Caenorhabditis elegans: one gene and its partners. The protein of the gene in region 1 purifies or fractionates together with the protein of each later gene. This does not show direct contact. Each region holds a gene or a part of one and is shown in the gene's direction. Other genes may lie near its edges. The genes, in order: sar-1, C30G7.3, npp-20 and sec-23.

Region 1 (3,566 bases):
AGAGATGAGTTATGTGCCTTTAAAAATACAGTAGTTTTCGGATTTTTAATTTTTCCTGTCAAAAAAATATTTTTACAGGTTTTTGAGTTAAAAAAAAACGAAAAAATCGTAATTTTTGAGGCGAAAATACGGTACCCGGTCTCGACATGACTATCTTTGTTAAACACAGAAAGGTGTACTCCTTTAAAGGAGTACTGTAGTTTGAAACTTTTGGTGCAGCGGAATTTTCATCGATTTTTTGCAGTTTTACTCGCGATTTGCTAAATAATATTTATGTGTGTTTTTTTTTATAATTGACCAGCCGGTGTCGTTCGAGCCTACGGCTCGACCTACTCCGACTGGCTTAAAATAAAGTTCGAAAAAAAAAATAAATGAATGAACTTGATTTTTTTTTTGAAAATGAAAACTTTCAAACTAACGTGAATTTTGCGTGTTGGCATAGCCTACATTGGACGGTAGGAAACTCTACTTTATATTTTTTTATAATTGATACACCTATTTTTAAGAAAAATATGAGAAACAATGAAAATTGTGCAACAACAGAAGTTTGAGACTACAGTACTCTTTAAAGGCGCACACCTTTTTGCAATTAACAACAAATTGTCGTGTCGAGACCGGATACCGTATTTTGCCACAAAAATGACAAACCTTCGGGTCGCGGTATTAGTTTCTCCCATGGTATTAAAAATTTCATTTTTCAGTTTCTCAAAAATTGAGCGGATTTAAAATCGAAGAAATATACCGTAGTATTTAAAGGCGCACGCTTTTTTTGAGGCATTAAACAAATTATCTGGCGTGTCGAGACCAAATGTAGCTGAATAAGTTTTACTATTTTATAAATTCAAATTTCAATGAATAATTTCAAAAGAAAAACATTTCCTTCACGTTTTCTTTTTTATCGAGAAAAAACCATGCCATAAAAACTCTTTTCAACATTTAAATTTTTTCGAATCAGTTTCAAAAATCGATTTTTCGAAGTGATCTGAACATTTTTCATTAAAAGGAGTTTTGGCGCGTAAGTTTTATTCTTTAAACTTTTTATTTAAACGAAAATTTAATTTTCCACCGATTATTGTTGAAATTTAGGAGTTTTACATTGTAAATGCCAATTGTCTTTCCATTATGTTTCGTCTCTACTTAAAATTTGTGATATTTGTCGAATTTTGCATGCCTTTAATTGTTATTTAAAGCTTAAGCGTATTTTCTCCATTCCGCACGGAAAGCGCGCCTTTCATCCTTACTGACGCATTTCCCGACGCTGGCGCACTTCTCGACCATCTGCCACTTTGGACACGTCAGCGCTTTCCGGATTCACTTTAAATGAAGCTTTCCTGGTCCCGAATCGCCGATTTTCAGAATTAGAATTTTTTGATTATCACACTGCGTCTCTTTTCTCTTTTCGGGTACACGTGGAAGCGCGTGTCGTTTTGTCTCTGTGTAGCACGCTACACAGAATGTCTCCGCCTCGTTATTTTCTCTCTTTTCCTCTTTTCTCACCCCCATTTAACCACTAAAAGTTCCCACTTTTGATCTATTTCAGTTCATTCATTTATTCTCTAAAAAATGCCTGATTTACCCGATTTTTAAGTGATTTAATTAATAAATTAATTGCATAATTTTCCAGATTCAATATGTCGTTTTTATGGGACTGGTTTAATGGAGTGCTCAACATGCTGGGTTTGTAAAACTGAATTTTACCATCATAAAACCTTTTATTTACAGGATTGGCCAACAAAAAGGGAAAATTGGTATTTTTGGGACTAGACAACGCTGGAAAGACTACACTGCTTCACATGCTTAAAGATGATCGTATTGCTCAACACGTTCCCACTCTTCACCCAAGTAATTATCGCTTTTTATTGATTTTAAAAGCAATTCCGGTGTAGTTCAGCCTGTTAAAGGAAGGAATCTTACTTTAAAAAAATGATATCTTTCTCTTCTTTACAGCTGATTGACCGGTTTTGCTTATCATCTGTCAATTGCTAAAGATGATGACGCAAAAAACTAGTTGTGAGAATTATTGAATTGATTATTTTTCAGCATCTGAGCAAATGTCACTCGGAGGAATTTCGTTTACCACATACGATCTCGGTGGTCACGCGCAAGGTATTCACTCGTTTTTTCGGTTTTTTAAACTAATTTTCTTCATTTTTCCAGCACGACGAGTCTGGAAAGATTACTTCCCTGCCGTGGACGCCGTCGTCTTCTTGATCGATGTGGCCGACGCCGAAAGAATGCAAGAAAGCCGTGTTGAGCTCGAATCGCTGCTCCAGGACGAGCAGATCGCTTCCGTTCCAGTGCTTATTCTCGGAAACAAGATTGACAAGCCAGGAGCATTGAGTGAGGATCAGCTCAAGTGGCAACTCAACATTCAACATATGTGCACCGGAAAGGGTTGGTTTTTGATTGGAAATTATCGCTTGAATTTATTTAAAAAACGAAAATCTTTATAGGAGACGTTTCCCGCAACGAAATGGCTTCTCGGCCGATGGAAGTGTTCATGTGCTCTGTTCTTCAGCGACAAGGATACGGAGAAGGAATCCGTTGGCTTGGACAGTACCTGTAAACAGATCAGTTCTTGAACTCTTCTTCTTCTGCTCACTCCTTTTTTATTCCATTCTCGAAAAAAGCACCATTCTCTTACATATTGCGCCGCCAACATTTCCCATAGATTTGTTGTACGTACTTGTCATTTTCCTTCGTTTTTTCTTTTGGGATCCTTGGGATCCTCATCATTAAACTTCTCATGCCTTCGACGTTTGTGCATAAAAAAGCAAGCCGCAATCCCATTTTATTTTATTTATAAATTTTGACTTATACGGACTTGTAAAAAATTCACGGCGTCCTCATTGTTTTTCTATTCTCCACAAAAATTTATTCAAACCTTTTCCTCATCTATTCCGTATTTATCACATCACTATCATTCAAACATCCCCATTTTTCTTCTCGTCCCACTTCATTTCCCCCTCAGATTTTCTAATTTTTTATTTCGGTTAGTTCTATGTGAATGAAACAGCTTCGGAATGTTGCAGTTCGAAGTTTTCCCAGAAATTATTCTCTTATCACGCTACTCACAAGAAAAAAAACGTCACGCCATATAGTTGTTTTCTTTGTGGCGAGCTTTAACTATAGTTATAACTGAAACTGAAAAACTTGGAATTTGAAAAGAAAATTGTTGATCGGAGTACATTTGATCACAAGGGCCTGTAGTCAGGCGACATGGTCAAACATTCCATTATGTGGTTTGTGTTCCAAGTGGTCAAACGGACACATTTCTATTTCAGGTGCGGAAAAAAAATTAATTTCAGATCAGATAATTGGCTATTTTTCCAGAAGAACCTTTTCGTCGTAGTCTCACAGATGGCTTCTGCAGTACATTTGAGTGCACACAGCTCACTCCAATTCTCTATTCCTCCACTCTCTCGACGCAATGGTGTTCGTGTGCACCCACTACGAATATCCAATAATCAGGGAAGGGAACCTCCTTTATTCATAGAATTTTAAATAAATATTTTGAATTTATCATCATCTATATTTTACTTGTAAACTCTATTAAAATAGTTTTA
Region 2 (5,904 bases), on another chromosome or scaffold:
CCACATCACAATGAAGCAATGCACCTACGAAACAATTAAAGAATTTTTTCACTTGCAGGTAGCCCTCAAAAGTACGAAAAAAAAATTGAAACCAATGTTTTTCTCGCCAAATAATTTGTTTCATCGGGAAAATAATAACGAAAAAGTTTCACAATTAAATATTATTAGTCACATTTCCAAAATAAATCATCATCAATTGTTTGCGATAACAAAAAAAACTTCGGAATTCTTAACACCTAGAAGCAGCCGTCTGAAAAGTACAAAAGCTATTATATTTATGACAAAAATGACATTTAAAATTGATTCTATATTTTCAGAAGCTGTAAGTTTTTTCCAATTCAAAAACATATAGGATACAAATGATTTCTACTTCAAAGAATTCCAGAACTTCAAACATGGCAGTTTTTGATTTCATCATTGGTTTCGGCTTCATGTTAATTGCTCTTTTTCTCATTTTCCTATACCTCAACAAGGATGGGCACATTTCAATAGCTATCAAAAAAATATTAACGAATTCAAGACAAAAGGCAAAAGATTTGAAGGATGGTTCAACATCCGACCCATCAAAAACGACACCAGCCGCACCTGCATGCTCTCCAGTATCAAATGAGGAAATAACAATACCCTCAGATGTTCAATCGGTGAATAATACTTTATCAGAAATTTCATTGTCAGAAGCTGAAGTTCAAGTTGATGAAGAGAATCCAAATATTGTGAAAATCCATGTAATTTGATGACTGTTCGCATTTCTAGTCATCATTTTGAAATTTAATAAACCAATGCGACATCGTAGTTTACTTCACCGTTGTCAATTTTTGTAGATGTACTGAAAATGTGTTTGAAATTTGTCCAATTGCAAAAATAATAATTAAAAGCTGACAATAATCATCTATTGTTCACAATGACGAAGAAATTCTAAATGCTTCTTACATAGAAGCCGACTGATAAATATAGAACTATAATATTTATGACATGATAGCATCCAAAATTGTTTCTATATTATAAAAAGCTGTAAGTTTTTTGTTCAATTTGATGGGATGGCAGCAAAAAAGTTACAATTCGACGTTAAACCATCACAACCCAGATTGACCTCGCAATGAAATATTTGACCAACTGTAGATTAAAAAACATATACCGTATTATTTCTATTAGTCTTGCACCAACAATGCTTAATTCCGAGATTTTTAGAAGATAATTTAAGTTATTTTCGTAGCATTAAGCCATATTGGTTATCATGATATCTGACTCAAATTTGGTGTCTTGGCTCTATTCTCGTGCAAACACCAAAGTCGCGTTAAAATATTTCATTAACCTAGGGAACTGCCACAAAAGTTGCACACTTTATTATCCACGACAATTGATTTCTTGGCTTTTGTGAATAAAAAATAATGTTTTTCGTAAATGAAAAATTTCAAATGATGGATTTTCCGGAAATTAATAAAAAATTATCAATTTTTCAAAAATTAAAATTTCATATTATCGACTTTTCAAAAAAAAAAAATTAAAACTTCACATTATCGATTTGTCAAAAATTGAAAATGGCAGATTACCGATCATTCAAAATTTATCGATTTTTACAGGAAGATGGAAAGTATGTAACTCTGAAATCTAATGTCGTGGAAAATGGTTTCTACTCGGGAGTCTTATAGATTTTTTCTCATTAATTTATTGATTTTTGTATTGTCATGATCTCAATTTGAAAAAAAGAAAGAAAATGTAATAATTATCGATATATTTTTTTAAATAAAACTGTTTTTGAAATTAAATCTTCACGTGGCCTTTTCGAATTTTGTTATTCTCAACAATAATCGATAATCCGTGAGATTGATAAAATCGATAAATTTCAATTATTTCTCACTTTTATACTCGTCAATACCACATTTATTACTCGCCGCTTATTCACATTACTCCAATGAACTGCAGACAATCAAAGGTGAGGTGCACGAGAAATGCGCCAGCATTTGCTTGCGCAATTCACGATACCGTATATTTTTCAGAAAAATTCTCACATCTGGGACAACGTCTGTACCGCCGGCACTCGTCGTAATCCGTATTACGTCTGCTGTGAGTTTGAGAGTCGGGAAAAACTGATAGTTTTTGTTGTTTCTGTTCAAAAATCGATAATTTCTCAAAAATAAATATTTTGAAAATTTAGAAAATATCGATTTTTCCGTAAAATCTATATTTTACACAAAAATTTTCACCTACGTGTAATTATCGATTTTTGTTCCAGAAAAGAGTTAAAATTAAAATTTTCGAATTATTGATTTTTTTGTTGGTAAAAATAGCATACAGGGTGGGCCAAAAGTATGGTAACACATGAAGCGCTCTTTTACATGAGCTTTTCGCGCGACTGCCACGTCATACGTACATTCTTCTATCGAATACTGATAGCTGAATAAATTTCCTTCAATTTGACTCAAAATTTGTAATGTTTCCCAATAAGGTGCGATCTTTATCACCTCGACAATTTGGCGAACCCTTTCGAAAAAACGGTAATTTGGCACGCGGCACTTCCCACACAAACACACCTCCCACGCACGCCAATAATTTTCAGATGTATGATTTTTATGTTAAATTGAAAGTTAAAGAAGTGAAGAAGCGTTTTTAATTGTTTTTGTAGCATATAAAAATGTTCTGTGTCGACACTGGCGCCTAGCAAGAACCTTTGTATATTTCATGAATTCAACTTTGCGAAATTTACTCAGTTTTTTTGGTTTCGCAAGGCGTAACGACCCACAAAATCATCCGAGCTCAATTTTCTAAAAAAATTCTGGAAAGTCAGGTCAAAACGTCTCGAAAAATACTAAAATAAATTTATCTGAATACTGCTACTCGCCGCTCACATCCATCTTTCTGGCGACTATGCCATTCAAGACTTAACCTACTGCCGCAGTCCATGACAGAAATACCGTGATAGAAAATATTTTGATTTTTGTTTTTAAAGAATCTCTAGACCAAGGGCATTCTTTGAACTATAAAAACTTGTAAGACACTTTATGGATTCCTCAAGAAAAATGTAGAAATCCCGCAGAATGCCGACTTGCGTGCCATAAAGATCGTGATCTCAAAAGTTCTGAAGGCCTGCAGCAATGCGGATGGATATATTTTGAAAATTCAAAACGTTCATCTGGTCAGTATTTTATGGAGAACAAAACTTGTACAAATTGATGTAATAACTCTCTCCACTAGTAAAGTTATAGAGCTGCAAACGTGTTACCATACTTTTGGCCCACCCTGTAATTCCTAAAAATCAATACTTCGAAAATATTTTTGATTTTAAGTAAAAAGCGATATTTTTTCACGTTCTTTTTTTTGATTATCGATTTTATGCAGACGGCACCACCGGCTCCACCACCTCATCACTGTCAATTTTGGAATTTTCACGTGAACAAATCACCGTAGTGTCGCCACGTGTCAAATGTCCCCTCAAGGTGAGAATATTGGAAAAAAATCATTTCAAAATTTGATCGCTGTACAAAATGCCATTTTTAACAACTATCTATCGTCAGATTCCGACCGGAAATGTATTGATTTTTTGATTTTTTGGACTAAAAATCAATAAATCAATATATATTTTTATTTTCAGCAAAAAATTGTGGAAAAACCGAAGAAAAGGAATGTATATGTCACGAACTGGGATCGTGCAGCGGCGGAGCAACCAAAGGCACTTGCCACGTGGATTTATCAGCCATTTGATAAGAGAAAGGTGGGTCGAGAATTGCGCCAAGGCTCTATCATTTTGTTGGCTTGTTGGACATCCTATCAGAAAGACATACCTGAAATTTCAGTTCGATAAGACTATTTTGAGCAGTGTTACCAGGCCTTGAAGTTTCTTATAAGATTAATCGACCGCGTCGCAGGTTGTTTGCTTTGACTAGTTGTAACTTTGCTCCCAGTGGATTGATTTGAAATTTTTTGTGTGGCTAGCTGTGTATTATTACGTACATTCAATTCAAAAAATTTTCAGTACAACAACCGCACGGCATCCGACGCCTTCGACGCCTACCAACACCGCCTGAAACTGAAAAAACTGCCCGAGACAAAGCAAAAAGTCACAAAAACCACCAAAAGACATGTGACTATCAATGAAGCGGCGACTCAAGTCATTCAGGATGTGTGGTGAGTTTGCACTAGAAACGCGCCAAGGCACGAGTTTTGCGTTAAGGCGTTAACAGTAGTATACATACATACATCAGAAATCAATACAGAGAAATCAATACACAGCTCTACGAGCATTTTGAACAATTTTGAACAGTTACGTAGATTTTGAACAGTTACGTAGATTTGAAGTATTGAGAAAAACCGCGACGCAGACTAAAGTTTTGAACCACTGTAACTTTGCTCGCACTGTTCGAAGACTTTCAAAATTTTTTGTGAACGCTCCCAATGTAATTGTTAATATGATGACGTCATCATTGCTCCTTGGCGTATTTTTCGTGCCATGACGCAATTCTTGATCATTAAATTTGAAGCCCTAATTTTCCTAGTTTCAGCCACCTCCAACCGAAATCCTACCAAAAAATTCGCATATCAAATTGTCGAAATGATGAGGTGAAAATCGATAGTTTCTCTGCTAACCGAGTTCCAAAAGACGATGATATTGACGACCTGAACGTGAATGTTCCAGTTGAAGATGATGATGACGTGGAACTCGATGACGTCATCCTTGCTCAAAATCCGGCGTTTTACGGCACAATTGAAGCGGAAAAGTGTGCAGAACGAGTTGCCGCACATCTATCGATGGCCTGTGAAAACATGGAACGTTTGCAATTTGTGACGGAAGCCGTGTATCCACAGAGCGCCGCTCATTTGGTGAGTGATTGCCTAATATGGAAAATAAATATTGATTTTTTTGCAGAAGAAGCTTCAAGAAATCGATGATGACGTCAAGGATTTCAATTGTCAGATGAGACAGCGTCGTGTCAAAGCTTCGAATCCAGGAGTACGTACTTTTAAGTTTCTGTGTGAAATTTCATGGCTGGACCGCGACGCGACACGAAACTCATGAAATTTTTGAAACTTTAGCGTTTTAATTCAGAACATCAAATTAGATGAAAAAAATGAACCACAGAAAATTTCAGAGCTGTAGCCACATTTTGAGCAAAGTTAAGGTGGTTTGAAAGTCCTAGCGACACACGACGCATGTCAAAACTTGCAGTTACCCTAACTTTGCTCTTAGTAGACACAGAGCTCTGAAATTTTTTGAGCGTGCTCCCCATGCAATAGAAAACTTGTTTGCGCAATTTTGGTGCCTTGCAAACACCATAACCGTGTAAAAATATTTTATTATTCCAGGGAACAGTCACAAAAGTTGCACACTTCATTATCCACGGCAATTGATTTTCCTCGATTTTTGCGAATAAAGAATTTATTGATTGGATTTCCAATTTTTTAAACCTTTTTTGTAGTCACCTAACAACCCGGATTTTCAAGTAGATTTTTAACAATTTTCAGGAAAGCGAATAACTGGAAATAATGCCTAAGTGCCTAAGACTAAGCCTAAAAATGAGCCTAAGGCTAAACCAAAAAAAATCCTAAGCCTAAGCCCTGTGACATAAGCCGGCAAAGTGAAGCAAAACGGCTTGTTTTTTGCGCTGTTATGAGCTTCATTCTTATTTGTTAGACCTTGTGTGTCCCCAAGCCAAGCTATTTCGTCGACATGATGATAAAAATTGGTTTTTGATTTAAACGAATTTTTTGACGCCATACTTATTTATTCGAGAAAAAATAAGCATATATAAAATAGGAAATTCAACAGAGAGTCAAACAAATTAAACGCTTTTTCAAACTGAACTTTCAGGAAAAATAGCAATACGTTTTATCTGAAAAGGGTTGTTTGCTATTATATTGTTTTGTTGCAGAGAACTTATTAATAATATTTATTTTTAAAAAAACCATGTT
Region 3 (7,509 bases), 3.0 Mb from region 1:
GACGCAGACACTGAAAGAAGGGGGTTCAGAGATGTGGAGAGTGCAGAGATGTTGGTGTGATGAAGACTTGGCAGTGTGCCAAATGATATTTTTTATGGAATATGATGCAATTGTGCTCTGTTGATAATTTTTGGGGTGGCAGGATTCTTTTGGGGGAAATTATTGATTTTTTTTTTCTTTAAATTTGATTTTTCTATAAAAAAAATTGGATTTTCTATAAGAATTTAGATAAATAATAGTTTTCTTATATTTGCTTTAATGATTTTTCGGCACAAATAACAGATTTTTTCAAAAAAAAATTTTTTTTTACTTTTTGGGGATTTTTATCGGAAATTTGAAAAAAACTGAAACTTACGATTTTGATGCTTCTTGAAACTATTATTTTTCGAAACTTTTTTCAAAAAAATTCTGGAAATTATTGATTTTTGTCCTAAAAATTTTTAAAACCCCGAAATTCTATCGAAAAATAATTCAACATTTTTAGATTTTGCGTGAAAACTCTGTTAGAATATCGACTTTTCTGTCAATTTTCAATTTTTTTCCGCAAAAACTGCCAGAATTTCCTCAAATAGTTCATTTTCGATTGAATTTCCAAATTAATCCGAAAAATCGATAATTTTTTGATTTTTAACTGGATTTTTCGATAGAAACGTTAACTTTGCTGACTTTCTAAAATTTTTACAAAAAAAAACATTTTAAAAAACGTTGGAAAACACATAAAATTCGAGTTTTTCGGCTGGAAATTGGGGAAAACACAAAAAAAAACAAAATGTTCTACAGTAACCTTGAAACTGCGCGTCGGGTTAGATGCATTGATACGCAATTGCGTACAATGCATTTTACTTGCCGCGCACACTTTTTGGAATTATTTTCAGCAAAAATTGCAATTTTTCAAGTATTTCAGCGAAGAAATTGAAAAAAATAAGATAATTGCAAAAATACAAGCGGGTTTTAAAGTTTTCTTTTTAAAAATCTCAAGTTTCTCAATAAAAATATAGAAAACATGTTTTAAAACAGGAATAAGCGAAAAACTATTATAATTTATTGATTTTCGCCTCCAAATCACGCTAGAAAATCAAACTGATGATCATGACAGAAAGAAATGATCGTAAAAATTGCGCTGACGACGTCACGCGACCCGCAATAAGACACACGGAGGCTAAGCACAAAATATAATGTGTTTTTTTTTCATTTGAATCTTTTTTTCAGACTTCAAAGTACGGCGTGTTGATATTGATGATCAGAAGAAAAAATCAAAACAGAAGAAAAAACAAGGACAATATAATTAAGAAAGTTGTTTTTCAGAACTTTGATCTTTTAATCTGTGTTGAAAGGTTCCCTGAGTTGTTTTTGATTTAAAATCTTAAAAAGTAGAACTAGAAATTGTTATTTTTATCAAATTATCAACAATTTCCCATTCGAATTCTCCAGGTTTCCATCAATTATTATTTTCTCGTGATTAAATCCACGTTCCTTGGCGCACGAGAAACACGCCAGCTATCGTTTGCTGGCGCGTTTCTCGTGTTGACGCGTTTCTCGATCGTTCCAACTTGCAATTTTTAAATTCAATTTTTGCCGAAATTCACTCAATTTTTAGCGATTTTTTTCGAAATTTCTAGATTTTCAGCTGAAAAATGACCACGGTCCGCCAGAGAATCGATACACAACATCGTGACGCAATTGTAAGTCGGAAAATCTGAATTTTAGCTAAGAAAATCTATTTTTTTTTTTTAAATTCTGAAAAATTGCAGCACGACGCTCAGCTCAACATCTACGGAAGCCGACTCGCCACGTGTGGATCTGACCGTCTTGTGAAGATTTTTGAGGTCAGGAAAGGCGAAAAATCTTGGATTTTCTGCAAAAATCCCAGAATTTTCATAATTTCAACGCAAAAAAAAATATAAAAATATTACAGGTTCGCCCAAATGGCCAGTCATATCCGATGGCGGAGCTTGTCGGACACAGTGGTCCCGTTTGGAAAGTCTCATGGGCTCATCCGAAATATGGAGGACTTCTTGCCTCCGCTTCCTATGATAAGTACGGAATATTTGGAAAAAAAAACGGAAAAATGATCAAAATTTGCTAGATTCGATCAGAATTTCATAAAAATACGCTAAAATCTCTGTTTTTAATCGGTTTTCAGCTCATTTTTTGGGTTTTTTGCCAAAAATTGGTTAAACAGAGTGATTTTGGAAGAAAATGGACACAAATATTGAAAAATGCAGCCTATTTCTGAAATTTCAATGAGTTTGATCATTTTTCACCGATTTTACGCTATTTTCCCTTTAAATTCACGGATTATTTAAAGAAAAATCAGTATTTTCGGTCAATTTTCACAGTTTTTTTTTGAATTTCAAGCCTAATTTCCCTCAAATCCACCAAAATTTTAAAAACTTCAACGGGTTTTATGAAATTTTTACCGATTTTCTGCAATTTTTTCCCGAATTTTAGTCGATTTCTGCCCCGATTTTTGTAATTTTTATCGATTTTATTCAATTTTCATAGTTTTTTTTTCGGAATTTTGAGCCAATTTACCCCCCAATCCAACGTTTTTTTCTGGAATTTCCATGAATTTCAGTAGTTTTTCACGGGTTTTTTGCAATTTTTAGCTCATTTTGCTCTAATTTCAGGCATTTTTCATCAATTTTCACAGATTTTCAGCCAATTTTCCCCCAAATGAATCGATTTTCTTTCCAGAAAAGTGATAATCTGGAACGAACAACAAGGCCGCTGGCAAAAAGCCTACGAATGGGCCGCTCATGAGGCCAGTACGACTTGTGTGGCCTTTGCACCACACCAATATGGCCTAATGTTGGCTTCTGCCTCTGCTGACGGTGATATCGGTATTCTTCGATACGACAATTCGAGCAACGAATGGATTTCGTCGAAAATTCAGAAATGTCATGAACAAGGAGTTAATTCAGTGTGTTGGGCACCTGGAAGTGCTGATCCGGCGGCAAAAAAACGTCTTGTTTCAGCTGGAAATGATAAAAATGTCAAGATTTGGGCTTTGTGAGTAGAGAAAATGCACTGAAAATCGATTTTTTAGATTTTTTAGATTTTTTTTGACCCGAAAAACGTGAAATTTTGACGTTTTTTCGATGGAAAATACAAAAACCGCAATTTTCTCAGGTTCTCAAAAGTCAGATTTTTTGTAAGCCTAAGCCTAAGCTTAAGCCTACGCCTACGCCTAGGCCTAAGCCTCAAATTGCCAAAACTTCTCGGAAAAAAAGTCGTAAAATTTTACTTTTTTTTCAGCAAAATTGGCAGATTTTATGAAATTTTCCCAAAAAAGTTGTATTTTTGATCCAAAATTTGTTTAAAAATCACAAATTAGTGCAGTTCTTACCGGAAATTTTTGAAAAATTCAAATTTTTCCCTCAAAATTACCTGATTTTTTGCTAAAATCACAAGAATTTCTGAGATTTTTCCCCTGAAAAAGTCAGTTTTTCTGGGATGAAAAAATTCGCAAAATAAAAATTAAATTCGGATTTTTTTTAAGGCCTAAGCCTTAGCCTAAGCCTGAATTCCAGAATTAAAAAAAATTTCCTTCTGAAAAATCAATGAAAAAATTGTTTTTTTTTCTGAAATTCTCAAAATTTACAATGTTAAAGTTAAAAATTCGACCCAATAGCGTATTTTTTCACCGAAAATTCTCAAATTTCTTAAATTTTCACCTGAAAAATCCCATTATTTTGCCAGTGACGACGCGAAAAACGAGAAAAAATGGAAATTTTTCGCCAAAGTTCCAGATTTTTCTAGAGTTTCCTTTGAAAAATCCTTTTTTTTGACAATTTTTCCGTGAAATAACCCATTTTTTCACAGTTTTCCATCAAAAAAGACTAAAAATCCGACCATTTAATAAATTTCTTTCTAAAAAATTGTAAAAGTAAAAGCGAATTCTACCCGAATTTCAGATTATCGTGTTAAATTCAAAATTTCCAGGTTTTGGATATTTTTTAACAGATATTTGTCGAATTTCCTGGATTTTCCCCCTGAAACATCCAATTTTTCGGTTTTTTGATTAAAAAAAAACTGAAAAAATCACTCAAAAAATAATTTAAACTTGAAAATTTGTCCCAAAAGCTGTTTTTTTTGCAAAAAATTCTCAAATTCCAGATTTTTCGCAGTTTCATTTCAAAAAACCCCCAAAATCGGAAATTTTTATTAATCTTTTTTGCTGAAAAATCAGAAAAAAAGTATATTCTTTCGAAATTTTTGTCGAATTTCCTGAATTTCCTCTTGAAAAATCCATTTTTTGACAATTTTTCCGCGAAATTACCCATTTTTTTACAGTGACGACGCGCTACAAACAAAATTGTTGGTGAAAATTCGAAAAAAAAAAAAAAATTTCCCCATTATAATGCAGAAATTTGGGTTCGCTTTGGAAAATCCCAATTTTGAAGCTGCCCAAAAGCTGATTTCCCACTGAATTTTGTCGAATTTATTGGGGTTTCTCACTGCAACTTTTTCCTCACGAGGGACGAGGAAAAGTGGTTTCTAGGCCATGGCCGAGGGGCCGACAAGTTTCAGCGGCCATTTATCTTGCTTTGTTTTCCGCCTGTTTTCTTTTGTTTTTCATCGATTTTTTTCGTTTTTTCTTATTAAAACTGATAAATAAATATTTTTTGCAGATGCTAAAACGATTTCCAAGTAAAAAAAAAATGTATTCAGTGGGCAAGCAGCGGTGAAAGTGGGCAATGTAAAATGATGGATTACGGGAATACAAAACCTAAACTTTTTCTGAAACATGATACATATGATGCTTAGATGCTGAAATTACCTGATTTTCATAACGAGACCGTTAAAAAAGTTTTGAGGTTTTCAAAATTCAATTTTTTGTGCGAAAATCTCGACTTTTTTACCAAAAAAGTTGAATTGTGGAAACCTCAAAACTTTTTCAGCGGACTCGTTATGAAAATCAGGTAGTCTCAGCATTTAAGCAGCATATGTATCATGTTTCAGAAAAAGTTTAGGTTTTGTATTCCCGTAATCCATCATTTTACATTGCCCACTTTCACCGCTGCTTGCCCACTGGATACATAATTTTTTAACTTGGAAATTGTTTTAGCATCTGCAAAAAATATTTATTTATCAGTTTTAATAAGAAAAAACGGGAAAAAGCTGTGAAAAACAAAAGAAAACACGCGGAAAACAAAGCAAGATAAATGGCCGCTGAAACTTGTCGGCCCCTCGGCCATGGCCTAGAAACCACTTTTCCTCGTCCCTCGTGAGGAAAAAGTTGCAGTGTTATTGGGGTTTCCTAAGAAAAATTCATTTTCTTAATGACAATTTTCCTTCGAAATCACCAATATTTTTTCCTCCAGTGACGACGCTACAAACGAATGGATTCTCGAGAAAACCCTAGCCGGACACACAGATTTTGTACGTGAAGCCGCATGGTGCCCGGTAACAAATAATGGACAACATACAATTGTTAGCTGTGGAATGGAGGGAAATTTGGTACTTTTCCGTACTTCAAATATTGAAACTGAAGAGTGGAAGGCGAAATTATTGGAGACGGCTCCGTGTGCATTGTACCATTCATCATTTTCTCCGTGTGGATCATTCCTTTCAGTTGCTGGCGATGATAATGTGGTATGGAATCGAGGATTTTTGTGTGGAATAATGTGGAAATTGGCACCGAAATTGGGAAAATTATGGATTTTTTACGTCAAAAATGGCACAATTTTTGAAAAAAAAAAGTGTACAAAAACAGCGAAAATCATCGCTTCAAAAACGGAAAATTGTCACATTTTTAGCAAAAATCGCTGAAATTTTGGATTTTTTAGCTCAAAATTATGATTTTTCGAGCAAAACCTAGAAAATTCGAAAAAATTTGGAAAAAATAGCGAAAAAAAAAAGCATTTTGGCATTAAAAAAAACGGAAAAAAATCTTACCTACCTCTAGCCGCAGTAGGCATGAGGCAGGTGGCAGGTTTTTGTGAGGAAAATTTTGATTTTTTTTTTTTTTTTTTTTTTGGTTTTAATACAACTTCTATCTTTTTTGCCCGGTTTTTCGTAATTTTAGGAAGAATTTTTCAGAATTTTCGTTGAAATTCGATTTTTTCAGGTGATTTTGATCGAAAAATGCTAAAAATATTAATTTTCGAGCAAAACCTGGAAAATTCAAAATTTTGGAAAAAAAAATCTATTGAGAACTGGCAAAAAAGTGGGAAAACAAAAAATTTTTTTTACCGGAAAATTGGCCAAAATCACTTCAAAATCAATTTTTTTTACATAAAAACCGGCGAATTTCGGTTGAAAAGTATCGATTTTTGAGCAGCACATGAAAATTTCAATTTTTATGAAAAATTTGAGAAAAAGCTACCGAAAACTTGCAAAAAAAGCATTTTGGCACGAAAAATCTGAATAAATGGAAAAAAAATACTCAAAAATTCAGAATTTGCAGTAATTTTACTGAAAATGGCGAAAAATTCGAATTTTCCGATCAAATCACCGGAATTAATTGAATTTCAACGAAAATTCTGAAAAATTCGACCTAGAATTACGAAAAACCAGACGAAATGTTCCCGCCTGCCTAATGCCTACACGTGTGCCTACCGTGCCTACAGGTAGGTAGGCAAATCTTCTTAAAAAAGTGCCGTTTCTACAAAAAAAAGCATATGATAAGCTCTGTTTGCAGGCAGGCAGGCACCTACGCCTAAAAACGCTCATTTTCCAATTTTGCAGATCACAATTTGGCGCGAAAATCTTCAGGGACAATGGATCAAAGTGCCACGTGACAATAAGGAACGCGAGGGAATGAGCCAAGCGGTCGGAGCTCCGGGAGCTCAGAGATAAATAAATTATTTATTTTTTTTCGCTGTTTCTACACCCATAATTCCTCTTAAAACTTGTATATGTACCTGTTATTATTGATTTTTTTCCTCATTTACTTCTCCGAATCCAGATATTTTATGATTTTCCTTCTTTTTCTCTCTCAAAAAACTAATGCGAAACCGGGATGAAGTTTTATTTATTTATTGATTTTTTTCGACTAAATTCAGATTTTCTCTTATTTTTGAAAAATTGGTCGCAGTAGCGCAGTCGGTTACGGGCTGGGCTGGGACGCAGAAGACCGGGGTTCGACTCCGCGTGGTGGGAATTTTCTTTATCTTAGCGTGATTGATACTGTTAACAAGCTGAAACTGAGTATAACCTGCTGGAAACTAGTGAAACTTGAAAAAAATCAGTTTTTTTTCGGAAAAATGCGGAACAGTTTTTGAAAACATGATTTTTACAAATTTCCATGCACATGTTCAAATTTCTCGCACAATTTTCGTTTATTTGACACCAATATTGGCTCATTTCCGAGGATTTTTCGAAAAATTGGTTGCAGTAGCGCAGGCGGCAACGGGCTGGGCTGGGACGCAGAAGACCGGGGTTCGACCCCGCGTGCTGGGAATAATTTTTTTCTTGGTTGATACTATTATCTAGCGGAAGTTGACCGAAATTTGTTAGAAATTAGAAATAATCTCGAATAGTTTGGGTTTTGTGTCATTTTTT
Region 4 (4,835 bases), on another chromosome or scaffold:
TCCGAGCGCTTTTCCAGGCAATTGTACACCCACTGAAACGAAAAATTGATTTTTGAAAAAGAAATTTCGAGCGGAAAATCGCATTTTCTCATTTAAAATTGTGCGATTTTCAGTATTTCTACTAATTTCCGAATTTTTATTCACTTTGAACGCTAAAAACTCTGAAAAACAGAGAAAATCTACGAATTTTTAATGGTTTTTGTCAATTTTTTGCAGAATATTCTCATTTTCTGTCTTGTTTTTCACTTAAAACCAAAAGAAAAATCAAAAAATTCGAAAAAATCGAAGAAAAACGAGTGAAAATCGATAATCGTGATTTTGGGCGCTGCTTAGACTACAAACTACACGTTTTGGGCGCTGCTAATTCAATTTTGGGCGCTGCTTAGACTACAAACTACACGTTTTGGGCGCTGCTAACACTACAAACTACACGTTTTAGGCGCTGCTAATTCAATTTTGGGCGCTGCTAAGACTACAAACTACAAGATTTGGGCGCTGCTAATTCAATTTTGGGCGCTGCTAAGACTACAAACTACAAGATTTGGGCGCTGCTAATTCAATTTTGGGCGCTGCTAAGACTACAAACTACAAGTTTTGGGCGCTGCTAAACTACAAACTACACGTTTTGGGCGCTGCTAAACTCATTTTCTTGGTATTTTCTCCGATTTTCTTCATTTTTTCGCTGCTTACATTGAGATTCAGCTGATATTTCTCAATATACGGCCTTGTAACAGTCTCATAAAGCTCTGGAGTCTCTCGAATCACGAATTTCTCCTCCTGACGGTATTTTGCAATGAGACGATCGTTTATCGGGTAGATTAGTTGAGATTTTAGCACTGAAAATTGAATTAAAAATTAATTTAAGCAAGATTGTGTGGATTACAATTCAATTTGGGATCGATTTCTATATTATAGGACCCGAAAATGTCATTTCTGGAGATTTCTTGAAGCTGTGCAGTCGCCAGAAGCTTCTCGATATCGGATTTTTCTTCGGAAAACGGAGACTTGTTGGCAAGCAGAATGCCTTGAGATCCATCGGGATGGGAGAGCAAAACGAAGAGAGACTGGAAGAAAATATTGATTTTTATGATTTTTAGGTGAAATTTATTGTTTCTTAATGCAAAAAATTCACTTTTTATTGATTTTCTCACCTTATGCGACGAATCAGCGCCTAAAATCTCTTGAAACTTGGCATCCTGCAGCCATTTCTGTGTACTCTCCTCTGCACGCTCCTCTCGCACAAGTTCCTCGTCGGCGATCCGTTTCATACTGAAAAATCGAGATTTTCACTTATTATTCACCAAAAAGATACAGAAATTGCAACGAAAAACGGTAGAAATCGAGAAAACCAACTCAAAAAACATTTTCAAAAGTGTCACGCATCGTAAAACAACACACTGGCCGCGGCCTAGAAAACTCCAATTCTTTTCTCGGCCATCTTCCTCCACGTGTACATTTTCTGTTGGAATTTTGCAGATTTTCACTCGTTTTTCACCATTTTTTCTGATTTTTCTTGCTAAAATATTGAAAATAAGTCGATTTTTATTGATTTTAGTGTAAAAATCATAGTTTTCACCTTGCATATGTCGAAAAAATGACGAAAATTGATTGGGCAACCATAAAAACCCAAAAAACTCGATTTTTCGCTATTAAACGTGATTTTCAGTGTTTTATATTAATAAAATTAAAATTTAATGGTGAAAAACCAGAATTTCACACGTAATCCACGTATTCTCCTCGTTTTTCATCATTTTCCGCGATAAAAAGTTCATTACCAGTTTATTCCAGTAAAAATGGCCACTTGGGAAGAATATTTGGGTGCTCAACAGGCGAACGATGGCGTCCAATTCACGTGGAACATGTGGCCACACAGTCGAGTGGATTCTCAGAAGCTTGTCGTCCCGCTCACCTGCTTTTTCACGCCGCTGAAGGTAAAACTGAGGCGCGGAAACTGGATTTTCTTCGAATTTTTCGTGGAATTATTGAATTTTAAGCATTGAAAATTGGATTTTGTAGCTGCCGAGCAGCGCCAAAAGCTGAGGAAAAGCCTATTTTCAGCAATTTTTCTTCAAATCCATCGAAATTCCATCAATTTTCTCCGAATCTTTGCAAATTTTAGTGGATTGCTTCATTTTTTGCCAGAAATTCGTTATAATCTTCTAAAAATTCAAATTTGGTAGCTGCTCGAGCCGATCGGCAGCTTCGAAACACCGAAGGCATGAATTTCAGCAATTTTTCGATTAAAAACGCGATTTTTTTCTCAATTTCCATCGGAATTTCTGCATTTTTACCTTAAAAAGTCGGTAATCTCTGCAAAAATCGTAAAATTCCGCTGAGAAACGCAAAAAAAAAATTCAATTTTGGGCGCTGCTTAGACTACAAACTACAAGTTTTGGGCGCTGCTAATCCAATTTTGAACGCTGCTAAAACTACAAACTACAAGTTTTGGGCGCTGCTAATTCAATTTTGGGCGCTGCTAAACTACAAACTACACGTTTTGGGCGCTGCTAATCCAATTTTGGGCGCTGCTGAAACTACAAACTACAAGCTTTAGGCGCTGCTAAACTACAAACTACAAGCTTTAGGCGCTGCTAATCCAATTTTGCGGAGTTCAAGCCGATTTTAAGCTGAAATTTCACGATTTCTCATCAAATTTCTCTCAAAAACCAAATTTTTTTTCCAGGAGCGCCCATCAACAGAAGTCGCCCAACCACCACTGGAATATGATCCGGTTTTGTGCCAAAAAGCCAGCTGTAAAGCGATTTTAAACCCACTTTGGTGAGTTTCAGGCCTTTTTTTGCCCGATTTTCACCCCGAAAAATGATGCTTTCAGCGCCGTCGATTATCGCGCCAAAATCTGGATGTGCCCATTCTGCAACAATCGGAATCCGTTCCCGGCTCATTATGCGGCAATTGCCGAGGATAACCGCCCGCCGGAGCTCTATCCACAATTTACAACCATTGAGTACACGCTTCGAGTGAGAAAATGCTGAAAAATCCGAGTTTTAAGCCAAATCTTTATTCCAGAAAGCCACCACAATGCCGCCGATCTTCGTTTTCGTCGTCGACACGTGTATGACTGCAGAGGAGCTGAAATCGCTGAAAGAATGCCTTCAAGTACGGGACAAATTGCAGAAAATTGAGAAAAAAACGGCGGTTTTTTAAAATTTTCGCGGAAAATTGCTCGAAAATTCGTCGGTTTTCCAACTCAAAATTTGTGATTTTTTCACTCAAAAATGGGAATTTCTGCTGAAAAATGGGAATTTCTGCTCATTTTCGCTTGAAAATTCGACTTTTTTAAACATAATAGTGTTATTTTTCATGAAAATTGGCAATTTTTGCCGTAAAATTCAGATTTTTGGGCAAAATTTCCCAATTTTTCCAATTTCAGACTGCTCTCTCGCTGCTCCCAGCCGATGCTCTCGTCGGATTGATCACCTACGGTAGAATGGTCCAGCTGCATGAGCTCAACACTCAGGGAATCTCGAGAAGCTACGTTTTCAAGGTAATAAATTGCAGGGAAAATTGGATTTTTTGGGTTAGAAGCCTGAAAAATGCCGAAAAATGCCAAAAAAAAAACACTAAGTAAATGCAAAATGAATAGCGAAAAATTAGAGAATTATTGAAAATTCTCGGATTTCAGTGAACAATTCGAACAAAACAAGACTATACACTTTTTAATTCAATTTTCCATCCAAAATCTTATAATTCTATTCATTGGTTACTAGTATAGTAATTCAATTAAATAATGCGCTCAATATGCTCAATTGACCAGTTTTCTCGAAAAAGTAGGATTCTTCATTAAAAATAGATGTTAAATTAAATGTTATACTATATATATAGTTGTTCTGAAACGTTAAAGCTCTAAAATGCGGAATAGTTAAAGGTGGTGTCGTCGATTTTTTTCAAATTGCTTTATTTAGACTCAAAATTGTCTGAAAACACCGAATTTCATAATAAAACTTCTTGAAAACTTTTCAAAAAAAGGTTATGACGGCTCAAAAAATGGCCTAAAATTAGTTAAAATCGGAAATTTGACTAACTTATCAATGTCGCAGCGGCTGGAAATTTTTTTTTTTGAAATCATCGTTAAATTTTGAGTTTACAAGTTGATTATCTTGCGTTTTAAACTTGATTAAGCTATTTAAAAATCGATGGACGGCGAGTTTATCGATAAAAAAAATTAAAAATCTCGCCGTACATCGATTTTTAAATACCTTAATCAAGTTTAAAACGCAAGATAATCAACTTGTAAACTCAAAATTTGACGGTGATTTCAAAAAAAAAGTGTTTCCAGCCGCTTGACAAGTCGGTCAAATTTCAAATTTTAACTAATTTTAGGCCATTTTTTGAGCCGCCATAACTTTTTTTTGTCAAGTTTTCAAGAAGTTTCATTATGAAATTCGGTGTTTTCAGACAATTTTGAGTCTAATAAGGCAATAAAAAAAATTCGACTACACCACCTTTACCTATTCCGCAGAGCTGTAACGTTTCAGAACAACTATATATATAGTATAACATTCAATTTAACATTTATTTTTTATGAAGAATCCTACTTTTTCGAGAAAACTGGGTCAATTGAGCATAAGTAGCGCATTATTTAATTGAATTACCATACTACTAACCAATGAATAGAATTATAAGATTTTGGATGGAAAATTGAATTAAAAAGTGTATAGCCTTGTTTTGTTCGAATTTTTCACTGAAATCTGTGAATTTTCAATAATTTTCGACTACACCACCTTTAAGTTAATAGGTTAATTAACGACTATACACCGACTATACACTTTTTTATTCAAACTTCATAAGACATATTGAACATGTTATTATTATTA

The links.
Region 2: the proteins of sar-1 (region 1) and C30G7.3 fractionate together in Caenorhabditis elegans (co-fractionation; one large-scale study listed by BioGRID). This does not show direct contact.
Region 3: the proteins of sar-1 (region 1) and npp-20 fractionate together in Caenorhabditis elegans (co-fractionation; one large-scale study listed by BioGRID). This does not show direct contact.
Region 4: the proteins of sar-1 (region 1) and sec-23 fractionate together in Caenorhabditis elegans (co-fractionation; one large-scale study listed by BioGRID). This does not show direct contact.

What each region holds. Positions count from the first base shown.
Region 1 is NC_003282.8:4,511,378-4,514,943, reverse strand, and holds sar-1 (Small COPII coat GTPase SAR1), read left to right. Parts: upstream 1-1,624; 5' UTR 1,625-1,631; coding exon 1,632-1,677; intron 1,678-1,722; coding exon 1,723-1,842; intron 1,843-2,040; coding exon 2,041-2,106; intron 2,107-2,157; coding exon 2,158-2,394; intron 2,395-2,453; coding exon 2,454-2,566; 3' UTR 2,567-3,051; downstream 3,052-3,566. Other genes in the region: ZK180.8 (uncharacterized protein), read left to right, coding at 3,361-3,504. UniProt on the Caenorhabditis elegans protein: Small GTPase that cycles between an active GTP-bound and an inactive GDP-bound state and mainly functions in vesicle-mediated endoplasmic reticulum (ER) to Golgi transport.
Region 2 is NC_003283.11:14,941,614-14,947,517, reverse strand, and holds C30G7.3 (MADF domain-containing protein), read left to right. Parts: upstream 1-1,813; 5' UTR 1,814-1,912; coding exon 1,913-1,933; intron 1,934-1,997; coding exon 1,998-2,064; intron 2,065-3,336; coding exon 3,337-3,434; intron 3,435-3,589; coding exon 3,590-3,709; intron 3,710-3,970; coding exon 3,971-4,122; intron 4,123-4,496; coding exon 4,497-4,815; intron 4,816-4,861; coding exon 4,862-4,945; intron 4,946-5,298; coding exon 5,299-5,343; 3' UTR 5,344-5,388; downstream 5,389-5,904. Other genes in the region: C30G7.4 (Matrix-remodeling-associated protein 7), read left to right, coding at 396-734.
Region 3 is NC_003282.8:1,490,133-1,497,641, reverse strand, and holds npp-20 (Protein SEC13 homolog), read left to right. Parts: upstream 1-1,619; 5' UTR 1,620-1,634; coding exon 1,635-1,682; intron 1,683-1,751; coding exon 1,752-1,826; intron 1,827-1,915; coding exon 1,916-2,037; intron 2,038-2,697; coding exon 2,698-3,012; intron 3,013-5,327; coding exon 5,328-5,598; intron 5,599-6,693; coding exon 6,694-6,804; 3' UTR 6,805-6,989; downstream 6,990-7,509.
Region 4 is NC_003283.11:20,089,475-20,094,309, forward strand, and holds the start of sec-23 (Protein transport protein SEC23), read left to right. Parts: upstream 1-1,788; 5' UTR 1,789-1,793; coding exon 1,794-1,931; intron 1,932-2,683; coding exon 2,684-2,778; intron 2,779-2,833; coding exon 2,834-2,978; intron 2,979-3,027; coding exon 3,028-3,117; intron 3,118-3,391; coding exon 3,392-3,505; intron 3,506-4,778; exon of another isoform or gene 4,779-4,835. Other genes in the region: dcs-1 (m7GpppX diphosphatase), read right to left, coding at 1-32, 691-836, 884-1,064, 1,152-1,268.